Tamandua tetradactyla: one gene and its partner. The protein of the gene in region 2 purifies or fractionates together with the protein of the main gene of each other region. This does not show direct contact. Links are inferred from orthologs where the notes say so. Each region holds a gene or a part of one and is shown on either strand. Other genes may lie near its edges.

The links.
Region 1: the proteins of POLR1E (region 2) and POLR2L purify together in Homo sapiens (affinity purification with mass spectrometry; 3 studies listed by BioGRID and IntAct, with this or other methods). This does not show direct contact. The link is inferred for Tamandua tetradactyla from reciprocal best matches to the Homo sapiens genes POLR1E and POLR2L.

Annotation. Positions count from the first base shown.
Region 1 is NC_135335.1:664,292-679,979, forward strand, and holds POLR2L (DNA-directed RNA polymerases I, II, and III subunit RPABC5), read right to left. Parts: upstream 10,047-15,688; 5' UTR 9,960-10,046; coding exon 9,865-9,959; intron 8,472-9,864; coding exon 8,363-8,471; 3' UTR 8,265-8,362; downstream 1-8,264. Other genes in the region: CRACR2B (EF-hand calcium-binding domain-containing protein 4A), read left to right, coding at 1-26, 451-597, 686-776, 1,034-1,126, 1,247-1,413, 1,572-1,643, 1,741-1,912; CD151 antigen, read left to right, coding at 4,961-5,041, 5,232-5,423, 5,582-5,656, 6,170-6,274, 6,477-6,635, 6,706-6,792, 6,865-6,924. UniProt on the Homo sapiens protein: DNA-dependent RNA polymerase catalyzes the transcription of DNA into RNA using the four ribonucleoside triphosphates as substrates.
Region 2 is NC_135328.1:57,716,350-57,732,089, forward strand, and holds the start of POLR1E (DNA-directed RNA polymerase I subunit RPA49), read right to left. Parts: upstream 7,244-15,740; 5' UTR 7,119-7,243; coding exon 7,043-7,118; intron 6,504-7,042; coding exon 6,400-6,503; intron 1,646-6,399; coding exon 1,569-1,645; intron 385-1,568; coding exon 299-384; intron 1-298. UniProt on the Homo sapiens protein: Component of RNA polymerase I (Pol I), a DNA-dependent RNA polymerase which synthesizes ribosomal RNA precursors using the four ribonucleoside triphosphates as substrates.

The DNA of each region.
Region 1 (15,688 bases), on a different chromosome or scaffold from region 2:
CTGGGGGTGGCCCCAGTTCTGGGCGAGTGAGTCGGTGCTACCCCCACCGAGGCCCTCCCCGCATCTCCGTCTGTCCTTCTGCATCCTGCCTGTGGCAGTCAGGGACCTTAGGCCGGTTCAGCTCCCGCCATTCCATCTCAGCTGCAACCCCGGGAGGGATGGCCCTGATTTACCGCAGAATTTGCATTTCAGGAGGCGGCTGTGGCCTGGGTGGCGGGAGGTGCCCGGCGTAGGGCAGCTCCCAGCCACGCACAGCCGTGCAAACACACAGACTCCTCGGCAGGGGCAAAAGCCCACTGGGGACGGATGCAGTGTGCTCGGGCAAATGTCCCCACCCATCCAGGGCCACCGGGGCTTGTGGGGACTTGCCCCTCAGGGGTGGTGGACAACTGGCCGTTCTGGCTGCCCTTCCCCGGGATCTGGCCTCAGTCCCTCGCGCGCCCCCTCCAGGCAGCGGGCGGTGCGGACGCTCTGGGCCCGCCTGCAGCGTGAGCACCCGGAGTTGCTGGGCTCCTTCGAAGACGTCCTGATGCGCGCGTCCGCCTACCTGGAGGAGGCGGCCCGGGAGCGGGACAGTCTGGAGCAGGCGCTGCGGAGGTGAGGGCCCGGGCGGTGCAGGGGCGGGGCCGGGGCTGGAGCGCTGGGAGGGCCTGATTCGCCTTCTACCGGCCTCCGATCTCCGAAGGCGGGAGAGCGAGCACGAGAGGGAGGTGCGGTGTCTGTACGAGGAGATGGAGCAGCAGCTCCGCCAGCAGCGCCAGCGCCTGCGAAGTCAGGTGGGGCCCACCCCCGCCCCGCGCCGGCCCCTCAACCCCAGCGCTTCTGGCCTCTTCTCCGACTTGGTCACGCCCCCGAGGGCTGCATCTAGCGGGTCCAAGCTCCCTGGATCTAGTGAGGCCCTTCTTGGTCTCATCCCCATGCCCGCTACGCGTTTCTCCCGCTGACACCGCCGCCCCCCACCCCACCAACATCCCTCGGCGTGGCCTGGCCGTCCGCGGAGCTCAGGTGCCATCCCACACCCCGCCTGGCCCAGGACCTTCCCCGGAAGGAGCGCCGCGGCCGCCTGGAGCTGGAGCTGCAAAACCGCGAGCAGGAGCTAGAGCGATCCGGCCTGCGGCAGCGCGAGGTGCGTGGCACTGTCACCCTGGGCTCCTTAGGTTCCCGGGCCTCAGCGTCCCCTGCCCAGAATGGTCGGGAGAGAGAGAGAGAGTTCCCCGCGAGCCTCGCTCCGCTCTCGACCCCGCAGCTGGAGCAGCAGCTGCGGGCCCGGGCGGCGGAGCAGCGAGAGGCGCAAGCCCAGAACGCGCAGCTGTGGCGGGCCAACGAGGCGCTGCGGACGCAGCTGGACCGGGCGCAGGAGCAGCTCCGCAGGCTGGAGGGCGACGCGCGGGGCCGCCTGGAGCAAACCCAAAGGTGCCTGGGGGGCACGCCCGGGGCTCAACTCTGGGCCTCCTCCAGCTCTTCCCCTGCCCATCCCAGTCCCGCCCTGGGAATCCTTTGCGCGGGGTGGGCGCTGGGCCGCCGGGGAATCCTGGAGCTTCCCGCGTCCGGGTCACCGCTCCCCCTGGCAGGGACGTGGTCGCGGTCTCGGGGAACATGCAGAAGGAGAAGCGCAGCCTCCTGCGGCAACTGGAGCTCCTCAGGTGTGCGGAGATCCCTCCTTACCGCCCCACCTCAGCGGCAGCCGCCCCCAGGTGGCTGCCTCCTCCAACCGCTCACCTCACACTCACCCTTCCCCAGGGAGCTGAACACCCGGCTGCGGGACGACAGGGACGCCTATGAGGCCGCGGCGCTGGGCGGAGCTCGCAGGAAGGCTCGGGCCGTGGCGCACCTGCCCGGGTCCACCTGCTGCTGCTGCAGCTGGGCGCGCGCCCCCAGGCGCGGCTCCGCGCACCTTCCCAGCGCCCGCTGACCCGCCGAGGGACGCACCGGGAGTGACCTGGAGAGGCTGCCCCTTGGGGGTGGAATCGTGGTGTGGTGGGGCCCACATAGCGGGCGCTCCGGGCGGTCAGGCTTCGTCCTGCCCCCCGCCCCGGCGACCCCATCTGTGACCAGCAGACAAACTCTCTTGGGCCGAATAAAGCCCAGTGACGCACCGCGACTTCCTCAGCCTTCTGTGCGCCTGGAGCCCCACAGCATGTGTGACTCTGTGCCACGCGTGTGACACTTAAGTGACACGCACCCCACTGGGTCCGCGTGCTGCAGGCCCGCACGTCCTTAGAGCTGGAGCTCCAGCATCCCGGGTCCCGCCGCGGTCCCGCCCGTCCCCGGCAGGGGGCGCTGCAGCCGGGGCTTGCTCAGCCCACAGGAGGCCGGCCAGGCCCAGGGCCACCTCTGCGTCCAGGGCAGGTGCGGGCCAGGCCGGCTGTGCGGAGCCAGGTCCGGGAGCGGGCGCCCGTCTTGCCTGGCCGCCGTAGGTCAGCCTCCTCGTCCGCTGGCACGAGGCGCTGTGCTTTCTCCTCCGCCCCTGACTCCCCTCCAGGCCGTCCTCCACGCGGCAGGAACCACGCCGCGCCCCCCGGCCTGGTCGCGCGTCCTGCGCCCGCGGCGCTTTGGCGCAGGTGGCTCCCGGGGTGGGCGGGCGCGGGCTGGGGCTGGAGGACGCCGCGGCGCAGCCTTGGCTGGCCAGACGGCCCCTTCCGCCCGGGCTCTGCCTCCCGGCCCAGTGCCTCGTTCTCGGGGGAGGGGAGGCGCCCCAGCTGGGCTGCGGACTTCCCCGGGGATCCCAGCTCGACCCCCGAGCGCCTAACACCCTGGATCCCCGGCGCGCTCTCTAGTTCGGGCCTGCCCAGAGTCTCGGCACGAGGGGTGGGGCCGGGGGCGGGGCGGGGCGGCGGGGGGCGGGGCGGGACGGCGGGGGGCGGGGCGGGACGGCGGGGGGCGGGGCGGGACGGCGGGCGGCTCCCACTGGTCAGCCCCGGGCCGCGCATTCTCTGCGCTGGGAGCCGCCGCCCCCGCAGCCGCCGCCTGGGCCCGGACTGCGAAGAGTGGCGGGTGAGTGCGCAACCGGGCGGGGCTGGCCAGGTGGGGGGCCCGGCTGGCGGGAGCGGGGCTGCCCCGAGGACCCTGCGCGGCCGGGCGCGGGAGACCCGGCTGTCCGCACGGTGGGGGTGGGAGGCCGCGCCCGCCGGATCCGTCGCAGCCCATCTCAGGGCGGGAGGGAGACAGGGGCCGCGGGGCGAGGGCGCCTCTCGGCTGCCTGGTCAGGTCTGGCGCCCCCACTTCGGGTCAGGGGCCACGGAGTGCGAGTCCACGCACCCGGCGCAGTGTCCCGCGTCCTCCCTCCTGTGTGGCCGCAGGCCCGCCCGCTGCCCCGTGCACGTGAAGCGGCGGCGGTGACCTCATCGCGGTGGCCGAGCGGGGTGGGGACTCCGGCCGCGGCCTGGTGGCGGACTCCGGGTCCCCTGGTGGGGCCGGCCTTGGGGTGGGGCAGCAGGCCCAAGCCACCCAGGCTGTCTCTGGCAGGCCCAGGCCCCCAGGCTGTCCGTCCCCAGGGGCTGCGCCTTGGCCCGGAAGTCCCGGGGAGAGGGGCTGCTGGTCGGTGGGTCCTCGAGGTCAGGTGTGTGGTGGTGGCCTTCAGGGCAGCGTGGGTGGGCCCCAGCCCCCAGCCCCCAGCCCCCAGCCCCCAGCCCAGTGCTTGTGTTGCATCCCTGGGGCTGCTGGAATAGTGTCTCCAATGCATGGCTTAAAACAATGTGCGGCGGGCGGCCCTTCCTGCTGCCTTCACCTTGACGGACCTGCGCCACGGTCCTCTCACGCCCCCTGCCACCCCCCCTCACCTGTGGTGTGCGGCCGAGGACCCACCCTGCTCTAGCGTGACCTCATCTTAACTAACTCCTTCCACAAGGCCCAATTTCCAAATAAGGTCACGAGCTGAGGTGCTGGTCGGGGACACAACTGAACCCAAAACAGCAGTAGAGGTGTGGGTACCTGTCAGTGCTGGAGCCGCATTCCCTCCGGGGCTGCAGCTGCTGTGCTCTGGGTGGGGGGAGGGCAGGTCAGGGGCCGAGGCCTGGGGGGGGCACGCGGAGGAGGCCTGAGGCCCTCCCAGGATCAGACAGTCCAGCAATGTCTCCTGCCCCACCCTGCCCGCCGCGCCCAGACCAAAACACTGGCCCGGGCCATCCCTCTGCCTCCCGTGGGTCCTGGCCAGGCAGGGGCGGAGCCCGGCAGGGAGGGCCATCAGCGCCCCCTGGGACTGGCCACTGCAACCGGTGACTGTCCTGCCCCGCCAGGCGCGCCTTCAGGACTTCCGTCCACCGTCCACCTACGTCTGCGGAGCCGCCTCCGCGCCTGGTGAGCGCCCGCCGGGCGGGGCAGGAGCGCCGGGGCGGGCCTGTCTGGAAAGGGCGCCCCAGGCCACAGCGCTCAGCTCCCGCCCCTTGCCACTGCTAGATCGGGCAGCTGGCCTGGGGCAGTCCCCCAACCCGCACAGCCCCTACCCCGCCAGGTACATTCCTGGTCAGGAGAGGTCTGGGGTGAGGGGGGAAGGCACATCACACCCCAGCCCTGTTCTGAGGGGGCTCCACCAGCCCAGTGGGAGGGGTGAGGGAGGGAGGGAGCGCTGCCGCCCCCCCATAGACCCAGAGAGCCTCCCCAGGCCGCCCGGTGAGCAAAGGGCAGGTCCATTCCACCCACTCCCTCAAACCTCCCGGCCTGTGACGTGGGGCCTGGGGAATGCTGGGAGGACCTGCCTGAGCTCCTGTGTGGGGCACCGAGTGGGCGAGTCAGCTGGTGGGGGAGTCTTCTATGCACCCCTCCCTGGGCATGGCCGTGGCCTCGGGCTTGGCCCTGGTGGCTCCAGGCCACCCCCCCACACACAGGAAGTGACTCGGCAGAAGGGACTCCAGTCCTGGTGGCCACGGAGACTCCCTCCCAGGCTTTCCCCTGGCAGCAGGGCCCCAGCTCAGGGTCCCCTCCTCCCGTCTGACCACTGCCTGCCCCACCCCCCAGCCCCAGGATGGGCGAGTTCAGCGAGAAGGAGACGTGCGGCACCGTGTGCCTCAAATATCTGCTCTTCACCTACAACTGCTGCTTCTGGGTGAGGCCCAGCCCCAGCCCCAGCCCCAGCCCCTGCCCCTGCCCCGGGGGTTTGGGCCCCCACCAACCCCCTGCCCCTGCCCCAGCCCCTGCCTGGGGGCTCAGGCCCCCACCAGACCCCCTCCCCTGCCTCCACCGGCCCTGGGGGCTCAGGCCCCCACCAGCCCAGGCGCCCCATGTCCCTTCCCTAGCTGGCTGGCCTGGCCGTCATGGCCGTGGGCATCTGGACCCTGGCTCTGAAGAGCGACTACATCAGCCTGCTGGCCTCGGGCACCTACCTGGCCACAGCCTACATCCTGGTGGTGGCGGGCATTGTCGTCATGGGGACTGGCGTCCTGGGCTGCTGTGCCACCTTCAAGGAGCGGCGGAACCTGCTGCGGCTGGTGAGCGGGGCAGGGGGAGGCACGTGCTCAGGCCTCTGCACGGCCGTGTCCCCGCTGGGCCAGTGGGCATGGCGGTCCCCCACGGGTTGCCTGGGCACTGGTGTCATCGCAGAGTGCGGGTGTCTGTGCCCTGGCCCAGCCTTGTCTGTCCCCCCCAGTACTTCATCCTGCTCCTCCTCATCTTCCTGCTGGAGATCATTGCTGGGGTCCTGGCCTATGTCTACTACCAGCAGGTGAGGGCCGCGCGGGCCGTGGAGGTGGGGGCGGGGCGTGCACAGGCCACAGAGGTGGAAACAGGTGTGCACAGGCTATGGGGGAGTGACGGGGTGTGCACAGGCCACGGAGGTGGGGACGGGTGTGCACAGGCCATGGGGGAGCGAGGGGCGTGCACAGGCCATGGGGAACAGTGCAAGGCATGCGCAGGTCCCGCTCATCTCCATTTGACCCTACCCCAGAGCTGAGCTCTGTGCCTTCCACTCCTGGAGGTAGGGGGCTGGGGAGCAAAGCCACCTACCTTGGGTACACAGGGGAGGCTGAAGCCCCATGCCCCACCTCCCTCAGCCAGGTCCCGGGGCTCAGTCCCTCTCAGCTTCCGGCTGACCCGGCCCCTCTGGCTTCTGAGGCCCTCCTGGGCCCCCACCCGACCCCCAACTCTGCTACCATCTGTCCCCTGCCCCCAATTCTGCCCCATCTTGGGGGTGTTAAACTTTGAGGCTAAAGCTCACCTCCTGACTCCCCCTCCCCAGCTGAACAGAGAGCTCAAGGAGAACCTGAAGGACACCATGACGAAGCGGTACCACCAGCCAGGCCACGAGGGCGTGACCAGTGCCGTGGACAAGCTGCAGCAGGAGGTGGGTGTGCACGTAGCCCCGTGGGAGATTGTGGACCTGTGCCTGACAATGGGCAGAAACACGTGTGCTCTTGTGCATGTAAGCAAGTGTACATGCTTGGCGCAGGTGAGCGTGGGTGTGTGCTCGTGTGCAGGTGCATTCTCGGCACAGGTGAGCGTGTGTACACGCCGTGTCCTGGGCTCAGCCATCTGTTCTGTTCTAGTTTCACTGCTGCGGCAGCAACAACTCGCAGGACTGGCGGGATAGCAAGTGGATCCGCTCGGGCCAGGCGGGTGACCGCGTGGTCCCCGACAGCTGCTGCAAGACCATAGTGGCCGGCTGCGGGCAACGGGACCACGCCTCCAACATCTACAAGGTGGAGGTAGGTTGGCGCCTGTGCGGGGGTGTGGGACGCCCGGAGCCTCGGCCACACTCAGCCACCCCCTCCCCAGGGCGGCTGCATCTCCAAGCTGGAGACCTTCATCCAGGAGCACCTGCGAGTCATTGGGGCCGTGGGGGTCGGCATCGCCTGTGTGCAGGTGCGGAGGTGGCGGGGGTGCGGGGGGTGGGGTGGGGGTGGGGGTCTGGCGCTCACCCCGTCTGGCCCTCAGGTCTTCGGCATGATCTTCACTTGCTGCCTGTACAAGAGCCTGAAGCTGGAGCACTACTGAGGCCGCCCGGCCCGGCCCTCTGCCTCTGGAGCTACTGAGCTGACACTACTGACAGACATGCCCTGCCCCTGCCCTGGGCCCAGGGGGAGCAGTGCCTGTCACCTGGTCCCCACACTGCCAGATGGCCTGGCCTTGTGACCTGGCACCTGCCTCTCCTCCCCAGAGACAGTTCCACGTGCCTTTCGCTGTACTCCAAAGTCTTGGGGCAAGGAAAGGCCTCCAGCGCCCCTGCAGCAGGGGGGATGGTCCTGACAACAGAGCACCCCCCCACACACAGGCCACCTCTGGGGTAGGGTGCTCCCCGATGCCCACGCTTAGTCCTAGCGTCTGCCCTGGGGTGCTCTGAGGCCCTGGAGAGGGAGCGGTGCCGGGCAGGCACAGGGCCCAGGTTGCTGGTCCCCACAGGGTGGCCATGGCCTGCCCCACACTGTGCTCCACCCACTGTCTTGGCCATGCCGACTGCTCACACCCTGCCTGCTCAGTGGAGTCCCCTGCCTTAGTTTCCCCACTGCACAGTCAACACTGTCTGAAACACTGTGTCCCTGTGTCTCCCTCTTGAGGATGTTCCCTGGATGGGCAGGGATCTGCCCGTTTTATCCACTGCTCTGTCCCACATGCCCAGAGCTGCTCTGCCACGAAGTGGGCGCTCAATAAATGTTTGTGGATCCGGCAGATGAGATTGAATGAACTTGCTTTGCTCCCGGCAGCATCACCAGCACCCTCACTCCTGTGCTGTGATAGGGAGGCAGAGTGCATGTCCCCAAGGCCAAGCAAGGAGCTGATGCCTAAGCTGAGAGCTCAGGGGCTCAAGGGGGAAGGAGCTCGGGCCCCAGGGAAGCCAGGAGTGGGGGTGGGTTGGGAGGGGGTTACAGGTTTCAGTGCTGGGGCCTGTATGTGGCTCCCAGAGCTGCCTCTGGTTGCTGTGGGGAGGCCCAGGCAGGAGCTGCTGGGTGGGGGAAACCGCCAGGCCCCACTGCTTGGCTTTGGGTCAGGGAGGGGAAGAGGCCAAGGCAAGTGTCTGGGGCATCACCCTGGAGTTGGGAAGCTGGGGGAGTGGGTGCTGGGCCTCGAGGGCCAGGCAGGTCTCGGCCAGCATCCCCCCTCCACCTGGGGGATGCAGTCCCGCCCCCAAAAAACTCAGACTGACCCAGGGCAGGCCCTGACCCTCCCCCCAGCCGGCTTACTCATCAGCACCCAGAGGCCTCAGGACAAAGCAGCAGAGATGCCCTGAGACTGACTTGGCCTCCCTGCCCCTACCCTACGGCACATCCTGGCCCTGGGGGACACCGGGCACACACTCTGGGCTGAGCTACACAAATCCAGTCCCAGGCCTCAGGACATCCTGCACAGAGACCTTTACTGACATCTTCCAGAGCTCGGAGTCCACCAGGCTGCACTAGGGCCTGGCTCCCGCACCACCCCCAGCTGTCATATGCGGTCACTTCTCCAAGGGAGCATAGTTGAGCAGCTTCTCGATCAGGTCCACGTGGGCCAGCAGCATGCGGCGGCAGCAGTAGCGCTTCAGGCCCAGTGCATCCAGGGCGTCCCTGCGGGTAGGGGCAGGTGGTATGAGCAGGCTGTGGTCATGCGCATTGCACAGTCCACACGCCCCAGCGACCACCCTGGACCACCTCTCCCGCCTACTCCACTCCTCAGCCCCCGGGGCTGCCCCCTCTGCACCCTCCAACCACCAGTCTGCTGCTCCCACACAAGCCCCATTTCTGCCTCTGCTTTGGGCTCGTTCACCCAGGGCTGGGGTGGTTCTCGGGACTTCCAGAGTATCGGGGGGAGCTTAGAGGCACAAGGCTTATGCCTTCTCTGGCTGTGGTGTGGTCTTCATGGCTCATTCTCCGGGACTCTGCTGCCTTGCTAGAGCCCACACACCCCTCTCCCCTTGGGGCTGGCTCCTTAGCAGTTTTCCCTCCATACACAGGAACGCACATCACTGCAGCCAGCAGACCCCAGCAGACCCACATGGTCCCTGGCTGACAAAGGTGCCACACACAGATCACAGATCACACAGCTACCAAGGGGACTTTCCTGAGCTCTGCTCCCCCAAAATCAGGAAAAGAAACACCTCTCGAGAGAGTGACACCTCCTAATCCCTATGCCAATCAGTAGTCAGGACTTCCCTGGGACCTGTGTTCTAGCCATCAAGGTCTCCAAAGAGCCCACACAGCATCGGCTCCAATGCACAGATGGCAGCTTGGGAAAGTGGGAGGCAAGACCAGGAGTCCCCTTGCTCAGAGCATCCCAGGGACACAGCAGCCTGCACAGACCTCTTCAGGCCTGGCTTGAGTGCCCCGCCATCCATTCACTTTCCTCATTCATCCGGCACACTCCCCCCAGCAACTCCCTTGTATGCTGGGCACACATGTGGGCCCGAGGGCTCAAATGGGATCGTGACACACGGCTGGCAAGGGGGCAGACTCTCAGACATGCTCCCAGGAGCTGACTGCAGAGCTAAGGGGCAGGCACAGAAAAGGGGCCAGCCTCCTGCCTGAGGGGTGGGCGCTGCGTGGTCAGGCAGCTTGTCCGCCTCTTAAAAGGATGAGCGGGGCTTGCAGGACTTGGTGGGGCGGAGAGTTGGCCATTCCAGGCGGAGGAGGGGTGGCCGGGTGGTGGTGGGGTGTCAGGGAGAGGCAGTGAGGAGCAGGTGGCAGGGAAGAGGCTGAGGGATTTCCTGGGGATGAGAAGGCCACGGTGACCCGCGGCGAGGATACCTAGAGGCATCTTGCCCAGCTCCACAGCCCCCCCCAAACCAGGAGCTAGTCTGGAGGACCCCGGACGAGGAGGACCCGGGACGAGGAGGGCCCCGGACGAAGAGGACCCGGACGAGGAGGGCCCCGGACGAGAAGGCCCCGGACGAGGAGGACCCGGATCTGCGAGCCCCCACGAGAGACCCCGCCCCCCGCGCCCTCCCGCGGGCCCGAGCCTCACCCTTCGGTGTACTCGGCCTGCAGCAGGCCCAGGTAGGCCTCCCACTTGTTGCCGACGATCTTGCCGCAGGTGAAGCAGCGCACGGGGATGATCATGGCGGCGGCAGGCAGCGGACCGGTCCTGCAGGCTGTCTGACAATCGGCTGCGCTCGACGGCTCAGGAGGCGCTTCCGCCCGCGGCGCGCAGGCCCCGCCTCGGGCGCGCCCACTGGCGCAGGGGGGGACGTCCCCGCGCCCTGCCGCCACCCGCCGCTGCCACCACCCGTCTCCACCCCCGCCACCGACCGCCCTTGCGGCAATTACTCTACGTCTGGCAAGTCTTCTCTGCGCGGGGCGGGGGCTCCCGGGGCCCGCGTGGCCGCGACGGGAATAGCCGGCACCCCCCGCGGCCGCTTTGGTACGTTCAGGTCTACGGCGTCCGAGCTGGGCCGCAAGGGTTGCGGCGGCGCTCGCGTTTCGCGTGTGGCGGGAGTGACAGCCGTGCGGCGGGAGCGGACGGGCGCGCAGGTACCGCCCCCCACCGCCCGGGAGGCGCCCCCGGACTCCGCCGCCCCCCGCCGCCCCGAGCCGAGCCGGGGCCGGTACCACAGCCGGGCACACTGGAGGGCGCGAGTTCGAGTCCCGAGGGCAGCCGAGCCGCAGCCACACGGGGCCGGGGGCAGGGCCGGGCGGTGGTCTTCCCGCCTCCCCTCCGGGCCCGGCCCTCGCCCGCGGCCATCCAGCCCGGGCTCTGAGTTTGGGGCGTCGGGCCCCGACGGCGGAGGTGCCCCCAGCGCCGCAGCGCCCCGCCGCGGCGGCGAGTGCTCCGGTCCCGGGGAAGGGACCCCCGGCCAGGCTATGCTGGGCAGCCCCGACGTGGGCCAGCTGACCCCAGCCCGGCGGGCCGAAGCGTCGTGGCCAGGGGAACGGGCAGCCTGGGGGCTGGAGGGGAAGGGGTGGCCCGGGCAGGCCGAGCCTCTGGCGGCGGAGGCAGGCGGGGCAGTGTGCGGGGGAGGCAGGGAAGGCTGCCTGGAAGAGGGGACGCTGGGCTGGCTGCGACGGGCCGGCGGTGGGGGGTGTGTGTGTAAAAGAAGACCCACGACTTGGAGCTGCCTGACTTGGAGCTGCCTGGGACGGGGTCTGCGTTGGGTCCCTGCCTCCCCCCGGTCTCACCCCAGGTGTCAGCTGGACCCTGACTCAGTTGGATGTGGGAGGGGATGGAAGGGTCTCCTGGGCTTGGGTAGGGCTGGGCCGGCTGTTGTTGCCTGGAATTTGTGCCTCCACCTCCCCAGTGGCCCTCTCCATCCCCCTCTAGGCCACGTGCAGAGCCACGAGCTAAGGCCACTTCCCTTCCCAGCCGCCTCCACCCAGGAGGACTGGACGCACATCCTGTCTCCCCTGGAGGGGCCAGAGAGGACCCTTGAGTCACGGCAGCCTGAGGTCAGAACCGGGCTCAGCGGCAGGGGAGGCTGCAGAGCAAGGAGGTGAGGGAGGCTGGAGCGAGAGTCAGGGACCCGGGTGGACCCCGGGGGTGGGTAGGTGGGGCACAAGGGTTGGAGGGCTTCCTGGAGGAGGAGCCCCGCGCCTTCTCCGCCCCTGCTATCGCCCCTGCGCAGTTGTTTATGTGGAGGAGAGTGAGGCGAGAAGAGGGAGGGAGAGGAGGGAGTGGCCCGACTGGCCTCCGCCAAGTTGACATTCCTGGAATTCTGGAATCTGTGTGTGTTGGGGGTGGGGTATGGTGGGGTGGGCTTCCCTTCCCTGATTTCCTTGGAGAGGCCTTGGGACCCGCCCAGTGTCCCCAACCGCTTCTGCTTGGAGCGGTCCCGCAGCTCATGCTTCTCCCACTCCAACTCTGTGGTGGCTCTGGCCGGTCGCCAGCCCTGACCCGACAGTCCTTCCTCCCTCTTTGCTACCCGCTCGGTCCTGGGGGTGTGTGTCCCCATGGGCGTTGCAGAATCCTGCCCTGCTCCCTCCGGTGTGCAGTGGGAGCCAGGGCCAGGCCGGGAGAGAGCTGTGGGAGCTCAGACACTGGCTGGTGGGGGGGCTGTGCCTGCTAGTAGGGTAGACGGGGTTCTCGGGCAGGTGTGGGGTGGCAGTGCAGAGGCGGCCCTCTGGGGAGGCTCGAGGCTGGGGTCTGCAGGGCCGGGTGCTGGATTTCCGAGGTGGGTCATTGGACTCTCCGGTGGTGGCTGGGGCACAAGGGGGCCTGTGGTCACTTGTGGTTTGGAGCCTGCTGACCACGTTTCCTGCCAGAGGCGGGTCATGTCAGGGCAGGCGACAAGGGAAAATTGGGGAAGTGGACAGCTGCTGAGCCCCTCCCACCCTGCAGCGTTGCCCTGGAAACAGCCACTGGGGGGTGGGGGGGCGGCGAGGAGGAGGCCCTGGCCCATGGCCTCAGTTTCCCCATGTGTACAGCTCCATGGGGCTGGAACCTGCCCACTGTGAATGTCCCTCCGGCCCCTGCGAGCCTGGGAGTGGGCCGCCAGGGACTGCATCTTCTCTGGACCCCCAGCTGTGCCCCCGTGCGTGTCCCCTGGTGCTGCCCGCTAGCCTTTGCCCCCCTCTGCCCAGGTCCCCATGCTTGCTCTGGACAGACGTGTTCTCGCGTGGGGCGGGTACGGCATGGTGAGGGTGTGCCCACGTAATACGCATTCAGGAACACACATGCTCTCTTGCACGCGCGCTTCCCCAGGGCTGGGGGTGACTGCTAGCCTCCCATTAGCCCCTGCAGAGCTGGTGGCACACGTGGTCAATGGTCTGGCACACCCACCCGGTGTGGGTGGCCCGGGGCTGGGCAGCGGCGGGGAGCTGCGGGCAGCGGGGCATGCTAGGCTGATGGCCTGTGGAAGTGCCCCTGCCGCTGGCCCTGCAGCCTGACCCCGAGACCGCCACGGCCGCTCGGAGGGGCCTGGGGCTGGGGCGGATGGGCACACGTCCCCACGTGGGTGCCAGAGGCGGGGCTGCCCGGGCTTCCTGCAGGTGGGCGGGTGGAGGGGCGAGGGGAGACGCAAGGGGGTGTCTCTGGCCCGGTCTGGCCCCCTAGCTCATTGTGGGGGAGAGGCCAGCCTGCAGGGCCTGGGGCCTGGTGGCGCCCCTCCCCCAGGGGGGCGGGAGCGGACACATCGGGCCTGTTTGTCTTGGCGCTCGCCCGGGCCACCTCTTCACAGACGCCTCAGAGCCGCTCAGCCTGGGGGGCCGGGCCGGGGTGGGGCCTGCTGCCCGCTGGGAGCTGCTGGGGCCCAGGCCGGAGGCTGCCCCACGTGCTGTCTTGGAGGGACCTCGGCCTGGCCAGGTAGGTGCCGGGGCCTGCCCTGGGCTCGCCGAGCTGCACCTGCCTTGGTCTAGGGTCCTCACCAGCAGCCTGGGGCTGCGGGGGTCATGGGTCCTTGCTCGGGGCTTCCTGGCAGAGGGACCTGAGCAAGTTCAAGCCGAGACCTTGAGTCAACTGCCAGCTTGGAATCGGGAGGTCTCCTAGACACACCTGGATTTCTCCTTTTTCTTGAAAACCCCTAGTTTGGGCGATGGGGGCCACTGTGAGCGGGTTGCGTGGCAGCTGCCCTCTGAGGACCAGGCCCAAACCCTCCTGCAGGCATCTATGACCTCCACCCTTTGCCCTCAATGCCCAGTTCTTACCTTCGGTTTTCAAGGGAACTCATCGCAAGGCCAGGGGAAAGGCTGACGAGGTTAGGATTATGACAAGGGGAGAAAAGTAAAATCAGGGCAGAGAACCCAGAGGCTTCCCTGAGCCCTGGAGCCACCACCAATGGCCACCAGCTTCTCTGAATCCCTTCTCTGCACCCCCTCTCTCCACCGTTGTCTGCACAAGGGTACCCTTCGCTCTCTCTTTTTTTTACATGGGCAGGCACCGGGAATCGAACCCGGGTCTCTGGCATGGCAGGTGAGAACTTTGCCACTGAGCCACCATCACACTGCCCCTGTACCCTTCTCTGCATCCCTTCTTCTCACCCTTCTCTATACCTTCTCTGTACCCCTTCTCTGCATCTCTTCTCTGCACCCCTTCTCTGTACCCTGCTGCCCACCAGGAGAGGGGAGGGCACATGCCAGCCTCTCCCGGTCCTGAGCTGGCCTAGTCAGCTTCTTGCGGCCTAGACCCCCCCAGATCTCCCTGTTGGCCTTTGCCTTGGGGTGTGTTCTAGTTTGTTAGCTGCCAGAATACAACACACCAGAGACAGATTGGTTTTTAATAAAAGGGGATTTATTTCATTAGTTCTTCAGAGAAAAGGCAGCTAATTCTCAACGGAGGTTCTTTCTCACGTGGGAAGGCACAGGGTGATCTCGCTGGCCTTCTCTCCAGGCCTCTGGGTTCCAGCAACTTTCCCCGGGGTGATTCCTTTCTGCATCTCCAAAGGCCTGGACTGAGCTGCGAGTGCTGAGGTGAGGTATGCTGAGCTGCTTGGGCTGTGCTACATTGAGTCCCTCATGTAAGCATCAGCCAATTAAATCAAACATCATTCATGGCAGCAGGCACACCTCCTAGCCAACTGCAGATGTAATCAACAACAGATGAGGTTCATGTACCATTGGCTCATGTCCACAGCAACAGAACTATGTACCTTCACCTGGTCAAGTTGACAACTGACTCTAACTACCACATGTCCACCCCTTGTCAACTTGGCAACTACTTGCATCACCTTAAACAATATTAAGGTGCAAAATATTCTCTTCTGACTGTGGACCTGTGAATCTCAAAACAAGTTGTCTGGTGCCAATATGCAAAGGAGGATATTCACAGGATACAGGTTTTCATTTCCATGGGGAGAAACTAGAAGGGAAAAGACCATTGGATTTCAAAGTCTGAAAGTCATTTATCCTTCAGCTTTAGAAAGTGGCAGACCGACCCTTTCCAAGGGCCTGTGCAGTGGCCGGCCTCTTTCTGAATCAACCTCTGGGGACATTGAGGAGACCACCTCTGGGCTCCACTCTCTCCAGGCATCAAGGCCACACCTGGCTCTCTGCCATTTCCGGGGCACACGCTCAACCCCTCCATGTGGTGGCAGCCAGGCTCTCCCCAGTCCCCAAGGAGCGTGTTGTACCTTCTCCAAGGCCTGAAGCTGCACAACTCTTCCACTGCAACAAGGTGGGAGGCTCATCCTCGCCCTTCAGGGTAAACTCACCCTCTCCATGTATATGGGTGGGTCCACTCTCCTCGAGGTTTCTTGGCTTCAGACCCAAGCTTCCATGGTCCTCACTTTGCAAACTCCCCAATTTGTCCCTTTTGTGTCCCCTTTGTCCAGACTGGCAGTGGTTCCATTTACGCCAACAGTCTCTTCAAGCACTCCAGGACTTCTCCATCCTTCTCTTCTCAGTTCCTCTAAAATCTTCCCCTTAGCCATCCAAAAAACTGTTCCAACATATCTGATGTTTGCAAACTGCAGCAACACCCCACTCCTGGTACCAAATCTGTTCTAGTTTGCTAGCTGCCGGAATGCAACACACCAGAGATGGATTGGCTTTTAATAAAAGGGGATTTATTTCATTAGTTCTTCAGAGGAAAGGCAGCTAACTCTCAACTGAGGTTCTTTCTTACATGGGAAGGCACAGGGTGATCTCTGCTGGCCTTCTCTCCAGGCCTCTGGGTTCCAACAACTTTCCCCAGGGTGATTCCTTTCTGCATCTCCAAAGGCCCGGGCTGAGCTGCAAGTGCTGAGCTGTGGTATGCTGAGCTGCTTGGGCTGTGCTGTGTTGAATCTCTCATTTAAGCACCAGCCAGTTAAATCAAACATCATTCATTGCAGCAGGCACCCCTCCTAGCCGACTACAGATGTAATCAGGAACAGATGAGGTTCACATACCATTGGCTCATGGCCACAGCAACAGAACTAGGT
Region 2 (15,740 bases):
GAGAGAGAGACCCTGAACTCCATCGGCCTTCTTGAACCAAGGTATCTTTCCCTGGATGCCTTTGATTGGACATTACTATAGACTTGTTTTAACTGGGACATTTTCTCGGCCTTAGAACAGTAAACCAGCAACTCATTAAATTCTGCCTTTTAAAAGCCATTCCGTTTCTGGTATATTGCATTCCAGCAGCTGGCAAACTAGAACAAGTGCTTTGGAAATCAAAAATTCAGACCAACTCATTCAGCAAACCCTGAACAGTGCTTATAAGTGTCTATGACCCTTCATGACCGGGGCCTACCTGAAAACAGTGGCTGCATATTGAACAACTCGGCATCATATACTTCCATCTGACCAGAGGTCTTGTTCAAAACCCCCACAAAATGTCTGAAGAAAGAAAGTACAATATCAGCAACAGTGGATTATTCCAAAGATGATTGTTTAAAAAGAAAAAGAACCAAAAAGATGTTGTTTGTAACAATTTCTCTTTCTCCTGTTAAAAGCCCTCAACCTTCTTTCTTCCCCAGTACATGTGAGAAACACATCTCTTGCCCGTGAGTAGCGATGAATCCCCAATAGCAGCACTTCTTTATGTTGGGAGCGGGGAGTGGAAAAGAAGAGGAGAGGATATGACTAGGTTTTGGAAAAACACCTGGACTCCCTGCTATGACAGGAAATCCTTTTGGGTATTAGAATCTAGAATTACACTAAAATTTTTATTGCACATATAATCTTTTCTTTTTTTTTTTTTTTTTTTTGGCATGGGCAGGCTCTGGGAATCGAACCTGGATCTCTGGCATGGCAGGCGAGAATTCTGCCACTGAGCCACCGCTGCACCGCCCCACACATAAATTTTAAGGTGGCAAATACAAATCCAGTCTGGTTAATCATGGGGAGAAGAGCTTTCTGAATTAGAGAATTTTTGTGAGGCATATAGTGTTAATACTCATAAGCATACATGCCTCAATCTCAATTCTATTAGGGTATGATGGGGCAGGGCCTTGTTTGTGGTTTACTGTTGGGTATATCACAAGACTCTGTCTCAATTACGCCCGCCCTTGAGAGTTATGGACTGTTGAGTCCACACAGTCTTCATTGCACAGAGGGAGAGGCTGGGGGTCAGTGAAGGGCAGGGTTTCCCAGGGTCACTCAGTCAGTCAGTGGAATAGCTAAATGAAAGCCTGGAGCTTCCCTTTCCCAGCCCAGAGCTTTCAACCCTACCAAAGCCTTTTCTAGCAGTTAGTACCAAGGCAAACACGAGGCAAATTTTGGCCTACTGCGCACACATTCCAAATTAGTGGAGAGCACTACCTTTTGAAATATAGGATATAAATAAAGAACCTTACAAGTTAATGAAGTTTAAAGAAAGTCAACAAATAGAAATCATCATTCCGTTTCAGGAATGTCTGCAGGTTGGTATGAGGACCCCTAGATGTGGGGACACAGGGATATGGTAAACCTCCCAAGATTTCTCCCACAGTTCATAGGATAAAGACCAAGAACAAGAGTGCCAGTGCTGTCACCGCCACCCTGCTCCCCACCTCTCCCGTTACCCCTTCTCCCCACGCTACCTGCATAGAGTGTTGCATTTGAGGGCTCCAGTTCCAAAATTGTTTCCCACATAGGAAAGTCTATCTGTTTCAGCTGCCTAAAAGGTAAAGGGGAAAAAAGCTCCATTTATGACCAACGTTGAAAGATATTAAGCAAAGGGTCTCCTTTTTCTACATTTACAAAAGCTTTAGGATAACACTCCCTGACTTTAAAAGATTAACACTCCCTTACTTTAAAACCTATTATAAAGCCACAGTGGTCAAAACAGCATGGTACTGGCACAAAGACAGAAGCATTGACCAGTGGAATCGAATCAAGAGTGCAGAAATAGACCACCAAATCTATGGTCAACTGATTCTTGACAAGGCCCCCAAATCCTCTGAAATGGGACAAAATAGTCTTTTCAATAATTGGGCATGGAAGAACTGGATATCAATAGCCAAAAGAATGAAAGAGGACCCCCATCTTACACCCTACACAAAAAATAACTCAAAGTGGATCAAACACCTAAATATAAGAACTAGCACCATAAGGCTTCTAGAAGAAAATGTAGGTAAACATCTTTAAGACCTAGTAACAGGACGTAGCTTCCTAAGCACAAGCAACAAAAGAAAACATAGATAAATGGAAACGCAAGATCAAATGCTTCTGCAACTCAAAAGACTTTATCAAAAAGGTGAAGAGGAAAAAAAATATATGGATAAGAAATAAACAAATAATAGGGGGAACAAAGGTTAAAACAAATTGGGTAGATGGAAATATTATGGTCAGTGAGAGGGAGGGATAAGGCATGTATGAGTTTTTTCTTTTTTCTTTCTTTTTCTTGGGTAATGCAAATGTTCAAAAAAATGATCATGGTGATGAATCGACAACTATGTGATGATATGTGAGCCACTGATTGTACACCATGTATGGAATGTTTGTATGTTAAGAATGTTTATATGTTTTATATTGTTCTATCAATAAAAATATAGAAAAGTCAAAAAAAAAAAAGGTGAAGAGGCAGCCAACTCAGTGGGAGAAAATATTTAGAAATCACATACGGAAAAGTTTTGATTTCCTGTATATACAAAAAAATCATACAATTCAACAACAAAAGAACAAACAACCCAATTATAAAATGTGCTAAAGATATGAATTGCTTTTTTATTTCTTTGCTTTGTATATATGTTATACTATACAGTAAAAAAGTAAAAAAAAAAAAAAAAAATGGTTTAGAATCCAGAACCTCTAGGATTAGAACTAGAGGGCTTCTGGGAGATAGTCCAGCCCCACTATGTGAATCTGGGTTATTCCCGGGGGCAAAAGGTATGAATAGAATAGACATTTTTCCAAAGAGCAAATACAAATGCCTAAAAAGCACATGAAGAAATGCTCACCTTCATTTTCTATAAGGGAAATGCAAATAAAAAATACGAGATATCATCTCACACCTATTAAACAAACAGGAAACTACAAATGTTGGAGAGGACTAGAGAAACTGGAACACTTATTCAATGCTGGTGAGAAGGTATAATGGTACAGCTGCTATGGACGACAGTTTGGTGGTTCCTTAGAAAACTAAATATCGAGCTGTCCTACAACTAGGCAATATCAACCCTAGGTATATATCCAGAAGAGCTGAAAGCAGTGGCAGACATTTGTACACCAATGTTCATAGCAGCACTATTCATAATTGCCAAAAGATGGAGAGAATCCAAGTGCCTACCACCTAATGAGCAGATAAACAAAACATGGCATATACACATGATGGAATATTATGCATCAAGATGAAGCATGGTCCTGAAGCATATGGATAACACGGATGAACCTAGAGGCTATAATGCTGAGTGAAATAATTCAGCCACAGAAGGATAGATATAGTATGATTTCACTATTACGACTCTGGTAAAGAGAGCAAACTACAAATCACATGGCCCAGGAATTCTGTACTCATTTATAGAAATGAACTAGATATTGCATCTCTGCAGCTAGAGTATGTAAATGACTTCATAAGTAACGACTTCCAAATGCTTCACATTTTTAACACTGAAAATAAAAAAATAAAAAATAAAGACCCATGGGAAAAAAATTCACATGCAGGAAAGCAGTTACAGAAGAATGTGTATATGATACAATATATATAAAAATTTAAAACATAAAAGAATACTATTTTTTATGGATGCAAACATATAGCAATAATTTAAAAACATGAACAAAAGGATATATGACAAAGAAAGAATAAATTATGTGTTGTCTCTGATTCAACCTTGTATAATATGATAAGAAACTAGGTCTAAATCATAATGACATTATCCAGAAATCTTGAGAACTGTAAATCTTTGGCCTTGCTAGAATTTTTTTTTTTTACATCCTTACTTTTCCTGGACTTTTTGCATCATGTTTTCCTATTATTATATTCTCTATCCTTAAGCTCTTTTCTGCCTTAATTCTGAGTATCCCTCATCTTTGTTCTCCAATTCCTCCCTCTATCATTAGTCCTGACTTTCACATTTCTCCAGTTTTCCTTTTAAAGCTGGTTCTCTTCTCCTGTACACTTGCTTCCTAGGCATTCTTATCCATTCCCCCATTTTGACCTATCACATATAATACATTGTTCCCAAATCCAGCTCTCCAGTCAGAACCTCTTTCCTGGTGCAATTTTTTTAATGAATGTATTTAATGGTGGTAAAATATACATAACATAAAAATAATTTAAAAATTAAAACAAAAAAAGTTCTTGGAGGAGTTGCACACAGTTGGTTTAGAAGCCCTGCACTCCCCAGCCCATATACGCATGCAACAAGGTGATTCTGCAAGCAACTTCTTTGGCTGGAAGTCAAATTTCTTTTTTTTTTTTTAATAGTGCAGAAGATCTTTATGTTGCTTTATTAAACAAAGCTAAGATACCGAAAGAAAATTTACTGAGTAAAAATACATCTCCCCTCACCTCCCAGTGTGCTGCCAGGGGCACCTGGCCACCACAGCACATTCTGTGTCCTCTGCCTCCCCCTGCCCTGGATGGGGAGGTTGGAAATTGTGGCATCTCTGAATTTTAGTGACCTCTCTAGCACCACCACTGCTCGTCCCCTGCAGTTCCCTTCCCACCCCACTGGCCTACCAAGGGTCGGCTGCTGTCTTGTGTTCCCAAGTGTGCCCTGTGCATTTAGCTACCTGCCCCCTCTCCCTGGAGCTCAGGACAGCCTCAGTAGGACCACCTGAGCTATCCTCAGGAAGGCAGTTAAAGCTCAAGTGATGTTCAATCCCTTCTTTATCCCTTTTTCTCCTATGACTATTCTATATACTCTCAGGACATTGAAAATGGCTGATTTACTCCCCAGTCACAGCCACTGCATTTCTCCTTGCTATGCTCTTCACTTGAAATACCACACCTCAGCTGTCAAGCCCTCCTCAATCCTTCAGGGCTAACTGTAATATACTCTCCTCCAGGCAGGTATTCTGCCAAGCAGAGAGCTCTCCTCCTCTTCCAAAACTTACCCTGCCCTGTAGCTCTTTCTCTCTAAAGCCCTGAGCTTTGTCCTATATGAGTGTCCTTCACATCCAGGTCTCACCTCTCCCTCTAGAGCAATGGTTCTAGGTGAGGCATTTTTTTTTTAACCTACTGTGCCAGTTTGAAAAGGTTTATGTACCCTAGAAAAGCCATGTTTTAATTCTAATCAACCTTGTGAGAGCAATGGTTTCTTCTAATCCCTATTCAGTAACGTTGGAAACTTGAATTAGCTTATCTCCATGGAGTTGTGACTCAATTAAATGTGCGTATTAAACTCGATTAAGTGGAGACACGTCTTCACCCATTCCAGGTGAGTTTTTAATTGGTTTTACTGGAAGAAGCACTTTGGAAAAAGCTAGAGAACAAGAGAGCAGAGAACACTGCAGAACCACAAAGCAGAGAGTGCACCAGCCAGTGACTTTTGGAGATGAAGAAGGAAAATGCGTCCCAGAGTGCTGGAGAGGAAGCTAGCAGATGACGCTATGTTCACCATATGGCTTTCCAGATGCGAGAGAAATTCTGACTGTGTTCACCATGTACCTTTCCACTTGAGAGAGAAACCCGGAACTTCATCGGTCTTCCTTTTTTTTTTCTTTTTTCACATGGGCAGGCACTGGGAAATAAACCCGGGTCCTCTGGCATGGCAGGCAAGCATCCTTGCCTGCTGAGCCACTGTGGCCCGCCCTCATCGGTCTTCTTGAATCAAGGTATCTTTCCTTGGATGCCTTAGATTGGACATTTCTATTGACTTGCTTTAATTGGGACATTTTCTCAGCCTCAGAACTGTAAACTAACAACTTACTAAATTCTTTTTAAAAGCCATTCCATTTCTGGTATATTGCATTCTGTCAGCTAGCAAACTAGAACACCTACCTTCACCCCAGAGGACATTTGGCTATGTCTAACATTTTCGGCTATCACAATGGAGGTGGAGAGGGGGGTGTTGTTACTGTTACTTAGTGGGTAGAAGTCAAGGATGCTACCACCCAAGCAAGGAAGGACAGTTCTCAACAACAAAGAATTATGTGGCCCACAATGTCAATAGTGCAGAGGTTGTGAAACTCTGCTCTATATTATTAGTTCCCTTCAAGTGGGGCAAGGTCTGATTTAGCACAAGGCTGTAGCGGGTGTTCAAAAAAACCTATTGAACAAACAAATGAATGGTCATCACTTCACCAAAAGTACTAAACCTAGGTTACCAAGCCTGTCCCCACACCCCAAGTAGCTAGGGCTAAGAATTCTTCAAAGGCCCAATTGCTGTTCCTTGTTTTTTCTCCCCTCATTCCCTCCCACAACCACCCACATCCAAGGGGCCTCCTAAAGTCTGCAGAGGACAGGCAATTGGCAAGTGCCATACTCACCAGGATCCGATGATGAGTCTTCCTGGGATTTGTGGAATCTTTGCTCTTGTACAAGGTAAAGCGCAGGCTGCCTGGACTCCGCAGCTTCCCATTAGTGAACTGGACTGTAAGATTGTAGCCCAAGAACGGGGTGAGAACAGAAGGACCCACATGAGAGGAGGAACTGGGATGTCATTTGGGAGTGACTGGAGGAACAGGGATGGCAGGGGAGCCCAGGCCCCGACCTAAAGGGAACTGAAGGAGATCCCAGCACAGTTGGGAAGAGGGGATAAGGAGGTGAAGGGAGCTCTGGGGAGGGTCTGTGACAGGAGAGAATATCTCCCTGGGGAGAGGAAGGTGACAGCAGAAGCCTGGTCCAGACCTAGAGAGATAGAGAAAATCCCCGCCCAGAGCAAAGAGGGAAATGGGGCAGATGAGTGAGGTGTCTGGGTTTTGGATACAGCCCTGGGCAGGGAGCAAATGGATTGACTTCATCCAGCTGGAAGGCCGGGACAGAGGACGGCTGGATGACAGACCCCAGGTAACGATGAAGATTTGAGGGGTCCTGGTCAAGATGGGAGGGGGCCCGTACAGCAGGCAGTAGGACTAGACAGATACCGAAAGCCGGAAGGAGGGGGTCTTGCTCTGGCTCCTCAGTCTTTACCTAGTACAGCTCTCTGGCTTTCGTTGCGATCCCCACAATACATCCACCTCGCACCTGGCAACACCTCCGCCGCCATCAGCCCGTCGGATCACCAAACCTGAAGTTGAGACACCCGGAGCCAACCAACACGTTGGTTCACAAGCAAGAGGTGAGGCGGTGCGGCATCCCGGAAGAGGCGTGGCCTCGCCAGGCACCGTCCCCCGCGCGCGGCGCACGTAGGCTACAGCCCCAGCAGACCCCGCCCACCTCCAGCTCCTCCCCCAAGCGTTGAGACGCTCCGTCCCGCCCACCCTTCGCCCCACCCCTCCGCGCTGAAGGCGGTCTCCCCGCGGTCTCCATCCACGCAGTTCCGCGCTCCCTCCCTGGCCCGCCCTCCGCGAGCTGCAGCTCCTCACTACTCCGGGATTCAGTAGGTTTAGGAGTTTCGTGGGACTCGGGAAGGCGGTTCCTAAAATGCCTACGTTTTGTATGCGGGTTTTTCCTGCTCAGCAACGTCTAGAAAAAATATGATCTCTCTTTCCTCCTTTAACAGATAGTGCTTCCTGAAACCTGAAAATCCAGGTTCAAATTTAGAATTCTCTGACTGTAATTCTTTCAGCCCCAGCTAAACGGGTAGCGATCAAGAGAGCCAACCCCTTCTCTAGGGTCTCCCATCCATGCATGTGGACATCCAGACCTAGCTCAAAACTCCGTCCACAATTCCGCAAACACCACTCATTGTGATCACTCTTCCCGCCTGGGTTGCACACACCTGCAGCCCAATCCACCCTGGGAGGGTGGGAATTCTGGGGTGGTCTCGAAGCACGAAGCCTGCTCTGATGGACATGTCCCTTTGTCCCTTCGGTTTCAAAAGTCACCGCTTCCCATGGGGAGTTACTTGAACAGGAAAAGGGACAAAACGGCCTCTAAAGCTTGGACCTAGGATGGGATCCCTTTTGCCCAGATGAAGGGCAAGAACTCTGTACCCTAAATTGCTTTCTCTCAGGACTTGGTTCAGGATTTACCCTTGGGAAACCTTCCCCAACATCTCTCTCTCACACACACACAGCAATCAGTCTCCTCCAAATAACCCTAGCACCTAAGTTCCCCTTTTCCTGAGCACTTGTCATGCTTTTCTAATTACCCAATATCAAACTTAGAGAAACAATTTTTTTTGGCTTTATAAAGGTACAAATTTAGAGCTGTTTGAAAGATCATCTGGATCTTTCTGTCACATGGGAAGGCACAAGGTGATGCAAGCTTCTCTCTCAGCTTCTTAGTTTCAATGGCTTTCCCCAGGGCAGTTCCTTTCTCCAAACATCTGAGTCTGAGCTGGCTCTGAGCTGAGGTGTGCTGGGCTTGTCTGAGCTCTGCTGGGTTGTACTGAGCTGTTTGTCTAGCTTCTGACTTCTTTTAAGCCTCGGGCTAATTAAGTTAACCGTCACTCATTGCGGAAGGCACTCCTCTTATCCAATAGCAGATGCAGTCAGCCATGGATGAATTTCACATGCTGATGATTTACATCCACAGCAACAGAAGAACAGGGCACCATTATCTGGCCAAGATGACACCTGAACCTAACTACTGGAGTAGTTGATATATATATAGTCTCTCCATTTTGTAAACATTTGAACTTTTCCACAGTAAAACATAAAAATATATAGAAGAGGCATCAACTTTTCCAGCTTCCCAGCACTCTGATTCTGCCACTGCTCATAGGGTCCCAGGCACATTGCTTCTGCAAAAGTTTAAAAGTCACCTTCTCTGGAAACCTTCCAGCACCTCAGCAGACAGAGCTGTGCCCCTAATCGACCTTCACTGCACTTTGTACACACTGCAAAAACACACACCTCACACATATACACACCTACACCCCCAATACACACACACACACACCTCACACACATATATGCACACACACCACACACCCATGCACACACACCCACACACTAAAGGAATTACTTTATTAAATTTAGTCTTTTAAAAAGAGCTACTACTAATTGAGCCTTTAATTTGGATCACACATTATATCTACATTAGCTCAATTACTTCTTCCAGCAGCTCTGAGAAGGCTTCTTTGCCACCATTTATAGATGTGGAAGCTGAATCTAAAGCGATTAAATAACTTGCCCAACCTACTTCTTTCTTTTTTATTTCCTCAATCAAATATATCATTTTTGGGCAGGCCATGGTGGCTCAGCAGGTAAGAATGCTTGTCTGCCATGCCACAGGACCCGGGTTCAATTCCCAGTGCCTGCCCAAGTTAAAAAAAAAAAAAAAAAAAAAAAAAAAATATATATATATATATATATATATATATATATATATATATCATTTTCTCAATGACTATTTTCAGATAAATAGATGTGAATGTGATTATTACAAAACCTGATACGCACGCTCAAATCTAAAAAAGAAAGCATCACCTGTATGGATGAAGGCTCCCAAGAGAAGAGGAGCAGAGGCTCTGGGTCATAGCCTGAATTGAGCTTCCTTGGGAGATTTGCAAGTGCCCCTCTGGGGAAGCCAGTGGCCTAGGCCAGCCAGAGTCTTAGGAAACAGCCAGGTCCCAGCGCTCAGGACACCTGGCGCTCTTAGGGCAGGTCACCCAGCAGGATTATGGTCTGGAAACGGGCTGCTTTGTACTTCCTATTTCTCTGTCTACCTCCAGCTTTCGGGAGAGGGCAAAGCACAACTCTCTTGGGGTGAAAGGAGTGGCAAGCTGACCCTGGCTATAGCAGGGGGAACTTCATTAGTATATGATTGAAGTAGGCCAGATACAGATAAGAATCTGGGTCAGACTTATCCAAAATTTTGTCCTCAAGATAAGTTTGGTGACATCAGATTCCTTGCCGCTGACCATCCTCACTGGTCTGTCTCTTGAGTCATACCACTACACTTTGGACTAGTTGCCCTCCATGTCACATGAACCTCCTCTTTTTGGCCTCTCTCCTGAGTCAGACCCCTTACTCCTGCATTTCAGATACTCCAGTTTCTTGTTTCGTGCTGTATTTGGGTACAGCATGTCTTCAGGAGCTTTTGGGATGCATGGGAGATAGTGTCTCTTTGAGAACTTGAGTCTTTGAAAATTTCTTTATTTTAGTTTGGCTGGGTATGAAATTCTACGTTGGAAATCATTTCCTCTCAGAACTTTCAAGGTGTCACCCCAAATAATTTATTTTTGCTCTGAATTCTTTTTTGCCCCTAACCTGACACTCTACCACCCCTGAAGACTGCAGTATTCCTTACAGATAAGGCATTTCCAGAATAACTACAATACAGCCATCAAAATCAGGAAATTATTGTCATATAATCCTCATACCTCACTTAAATTCACCAATTGTCTCAATATTTTTTATAAGAAAAGGATACTGTCCAGAATCACATGTTGCATTTGGTTGTCAAGGCTCTTTAGTCTCCTTTAATCTGGAGCAGTTCCTCAGTCTTACTTTGACTTGTAACGAGATATTAGGATTTAGGGGATGATTATGATTACTGAAACCTTATATAGATATTCCTTCTTAACCTTCTGGTATATTAGAGTAGACAGAGGAAAATATCTGAAATCTCTAAACTGTAATCCAGCTGCCTTGATTGCTAATAATAATTGTATAGCCTTTATCATATGCCCTTATGATTAAAACCTTGTGACTGACCCTCAATTGTACCCATTTATCTGATTTTTCAACTTTAGAGTCTTATGATCATTATAGACAGCCCCTCATGTTTATTAGTGAAGGGCCTGGAATCAGTGCAGAACTAACCATTAACTTGGTTCTAGCACAGTTCCATTTCTTTACATTTCTAAATTGTTTCTGCCTATACTTGCTGTTGAGATGGTAACGACTCCATCTCCCTTTATTTGAATCCATAAATTTGAGGACAATGCAACAGTGGCTCAATGGCAGAATTCTTTCTTGCCATGCCAGAGACCTGGGTTTAATTGCTGAAACCTGCCCATGCCAAAGACAAAAACAAAAACAAATCCTTGAATGCCTTAGATTCAGGGAGACAGATTATTTTTAGGCCCATAGACATCTGATCACCTGCTTTCTGCCTAGCAATAAACTCTTTTTCTCTTTAAACCTCCCATGTCATGGACTGGCTGTTATACACTTTGGGCAGAGAGCTCATCATTTTTGTATCAGAATTTCATAATTTTGACAATTCATTTTACAGGCCAGTTATTTTGTAGAATGTTACTAAATCTGAGTTTATTTAATGTTTCCAAATCAGCTTCAGGTTATGCATCTTTGACAGGAATATCACAGGTATAATGCTGTGTTCTGCTCACTGTATACTCTCAGGTGGCACACAATTTCAATTTGTCCCATTTCAATTTGTTACTCATAATATTAACTCTGCTCACTTAAGATGGTGTCAACCAGTCTCCTCTACTGTAAAGTTATTTCATTTTCCATTTGCAATTTAAAAGTATTTTGTGGGGAGATACTTAGAAAGTACGTAAAGATCCATTCATCATATTTTCAATTGAATCATTTATTTATACCAGTTTGGACTTATGGGTTCTTATTTTATTCAAAAAATTAGAATTTGCTATTATCATTATGTTCCAGCCCAGCACAACCCTGAGACCAAAGAACACACCGGACAAAAAATTAGACATGGGTTTTAATTACGGATTTACAGACAGGAGAATAATTTTTCCCAATGGTAGACGGTTGGGAAATGGAAGTTTGCACTCTGTCCAAAACCAAGAGGTGGGGAGAGGTGTGCCAAGATAGTGGCTTATAGAGCTTAACAAAACTTGGGAAATTCGGTTACAATGGAGTTTCAGGAGACTTTCATGAGATTCAATTCAGCAGAGTCTCACAAGAGTTGGTTACCAGCAGTGATTTGGGGATAAGTGTTTTGCATTCTTGACCTTTAATATCTTTCCCCTTCATGTAGGCAGTTTCATGCAGTGATTTGCTCTTAAAATGGAGGAGGGCGCAGGGCCAGGGCCCTAGTTCTTTACACACTATTTACTTTTATATTCAAAATTTCCCAGATTGGGCCAGTGGGAACCCCATCAAGGTGACTTCTGTGTCCTTTTGACATATTCTCATCTTATTTCTTTTTAATTTGTGTGCCGGCTTGAAAAGATTATATGCCCTAGGAAAGCCATGGTTTAATCCTGATCCAATCTCGTGGGAGCAACCACTTCTTTTAATCCCACCCAGCACCATAGGATGGAACTTGATTAGATTATCTTCTCAGAGATGTGGCTCCACCCATTCCAGGTGGGTCTTGATTAGTTTACTGAAAATCCTTTAAAAGAGGAAACATTCTGGAGAGAGACAGGGCCGTGGGAGCCCATGCAGCCAGAGACCTTTGGAGATGATGAAGGAAAACGCCCCTGGGGGAGCTTCATGAAACAAGAAACGTGGAGAGAAAGCTAGCAGATGTTGCCATGTTTACCATGTGCCTTTCCAGTTGAGAGGGAAGCCCTGAATGTCATCAGCCTTCTAGAACCAAGGTATTTTCCCCAGATGCTTTAGACTGGATATTTTTATAGCCTTGCTTTAATTTGGACATTTTCATGGGCTTAGAATTGTAAACTAGTAACTTAATAAATTCCCCTTTTAAAAAGTCATTCCATTTCTGGTATATTGCATCCCAGCAGCTAGCAAATCAGAACAACATGTTCTTACTTTTTGACACAACGAGATGTTCCAACTCATCTTGTGCTTTCCCTGCCCTAACCCCAGAATCAGTCATTTCTCCATGGAGCCCAGGCTTCTTTTGGTGAGGAATGGAACGTAGAAACCAACATCTATCTGTATGTTAGGTGCAGACTGTTTTTGGGATGTCACAGCTCCCAGGCCTGCTCAATGGAACAAATTAGGGAAATTTTCTCTAGTGGCCCTACTCTAGGTCACTGCATATATAACTGGGATGGGGGAAGGCAGTAACCAAAATGCTTTACTCCATATAAAAAGGGGATCATTAGGGATGAAAGATCCATAATACGTATATATCAATTATTTTTTCCAAATTGCATATTTTGGTAGAATACATTTTTTTCTAGAAACTAATGGCCAGCAAGAGGAAAATTAAGATATATTCAAATTTTTGACAGATATTATCAATTTATCTCCAAAGGGAGTGTAAATGACATTCCCACTAACAATAGTTCAGGCTGCTCACTTTCACACACTCTCCTAAGTACTGAATATACAAATCTTTTTATCTTAACTTTTGCCAATCTGTACATTGGATATTATCTAAGCGCCACCTAGGAAAAGACTTCTCACGTTGTCAACATTCCGTAGTCTCCTTATTCCACCGCCCAGTCTCGTGGCAAAATATGTGTAAGGACTGTAAGATGTCAGGGAATCGTTAAGAACAGAATTTACAAACTTATAAACCCAAAGGACAACATTTTAAACCTGTTACCTCTAAAGGGGTGAAATCGGCTGAGCGGACCGTGGGGTGTTAAGTTGTGAAGAAGCGTTTCCATGTTTTAAAGAACCCAACCACCTCTTAGACTACCTCTGTCTCTGGAGCTACGCCCAGAGCTCCCGCACAGCTCCGGCAGGACCAGTCCTCTTCCCGGCTTTCTTTTCTTTCTCCTTCGACCTCTGCGCCCCATGCTCTCGGAGGACCGCGGCCTTACGGTCTCCCTCAGGACTCGGGTGTCCGTCCGGGAACCGCCCCAGCTGCTTGCCCTTTTCTGACAGCGTCCCAGAGAGGGCCGGGACCCCTTCGTGTTTTCGGTTTCTTTGGGGAGAGCTCAGCACGCCCAATTTTGTCTGCATTGGGGTGGGTCATTGTAAATTTTTGTTCTGGAGACTATAGATATATTTGGTCTGCGGCATAGAATGTCGAGCAAAGTATTGCCAAAATCGGGAACCCCGACCAGCCCGCCAGATTCCTCAGACTCCAGCGTTTCGAGTCGCCGCCACTGTGAAGGGAATTGGACCGGGTCTGACCCGACTGCCATCAGTTGTAAAGCATTTTTAGTTCAGCGGTTTTAGCCTGGATCTTCGCTGAATTAAACCGCAGTATTTTGGAATTTTATTTTAATTTTTCGAGAGCCCACGAGATGGGACACCGGACACCACGGACTCCTGAAATCGGATAAGCGAACGAGTTCCACACGCAGTCCCGAGTCATTTAAGGGCCAGGCGCCGCGAGGCTGGGGAATTCCTTCAGGACCACCCAATAGCGCCGCGCGTAACCCAATCGTCCCGCCTCGGGGCTAGCGCAGAACCCAGGCTGTCGTGATTGTGATTGGCAGAACTGGGCGGAAAATCCGAGTCTCTTAACTACAACAGGCTTTGATTGGCTGCGGTGCATAGTTACTTTTCTATAGTCTAAACAGCTGCTTAGGGATAAATCCCGCCTTAAAAGGCGTTTGATAACAGTTTTACGTGTTGTAAGTCAAATGGTGATTGGTCACAGCGCTCATGGATTCGGGCTGTAGTAAACACAGCGAAGCTCCTGCGACCGTGGATTGGTCAATTTACCGGCGGAGTAAATTCCTCCGAGTCCCGCGAGTTGGCTGGCTGCGCTGCCGGCTCGGCCCCCCCTTCTCCGTTGCTGATTGGTTGCAACTCTGTCACAGGGGAGGAGGAATGGGACGGTGTAAGCCATTTCGCATTGCGTCACTTCCGTTTACTGTCGGCCTCTGCCGCCGTGTTCTCAGAGTGCGGTAGCCAAACGGACTGAAGGAACTGGGGGACAGGAGGCGGGGTGAGGGGTGGGGTGGGAGGAAGGGGGGAGGAAATCTCATCTCTAAGACGCCAGCCTGGACGTTTCCACCTGTTCCGACACTGTCGGGTCGGATCCGAGAGGGGTCACCGCCTCCTCCAGCGGAGGAGAAGGGGGGCGGAGCCCGGCTCAGGTGAGGCGACCCTGTCAGCGCGAACGGTCGTCGCGCGCGCTCCGGGGCGCGTTTTCGGGGAGACCGTTGAGCACCAAGATCGTGAGGCTGGCGGCGTTAGCCAGGTCGCGCAAGTTGATGTGGAGCGCGCGTAGACGGCGACCCGTGCGTCCGGCTCTCCCTGCAATCTTTCTGAGGGGGCATTGTTACCCTTTGGAGCTGAGGGGCCAGGCGGGCTGGAGGCGGGTTCTTCTGCGCAGGCGTCCCCGGTGTCCCGACGCCAGGCTGGCTGGCTGTGGGGTTGAGCGGGGTCTCGTGCCCCCCGGAACACCGGGCTGGCGACGTAGATTACTCGGATGGGTTGGAAAAGTCCTCCAGACCAGCAGCCTGGAGGGATGGATAGAGGATTTGTCTCCCTGTGGGTTGGGATCTGGTGTCTCCCTTTCCCCCATCCTAGGAATAACCTTCTTGAGCGACGAGGTTCCATCTCACCAAAGCAAGGCCACAGGCGATCTGGAATCGGGGACGAGCGTCAGGCAGACCCTGGATGAGTGTAGCCTGTATTTTGGGATGTCTCAACTTAGCAGAGGACTAAAATTTTTAATAGGCAGTTATTGAACGGCCACCATTTCCAAGTTTCGTGCTAATAGCTGTGGGAGGTGTGATGGTAAGACACAACGTCCCACCTTCTCCCCTTGTTTGGAGGACAACAGATTGTACATAAATATTAATATAAAGCAATGAATTAAAGGAAGTTGAAGGTCAATTTTTTCTTACATAAAAAGGTCATTTATTATTATTGAGTCAGTCTGCATTCTGGCATAATGGAAGGAATCCGAGGAAGCTAACTTCTGAATAGAAGGCAAATCCTAACAATTATTTAATGTGGAG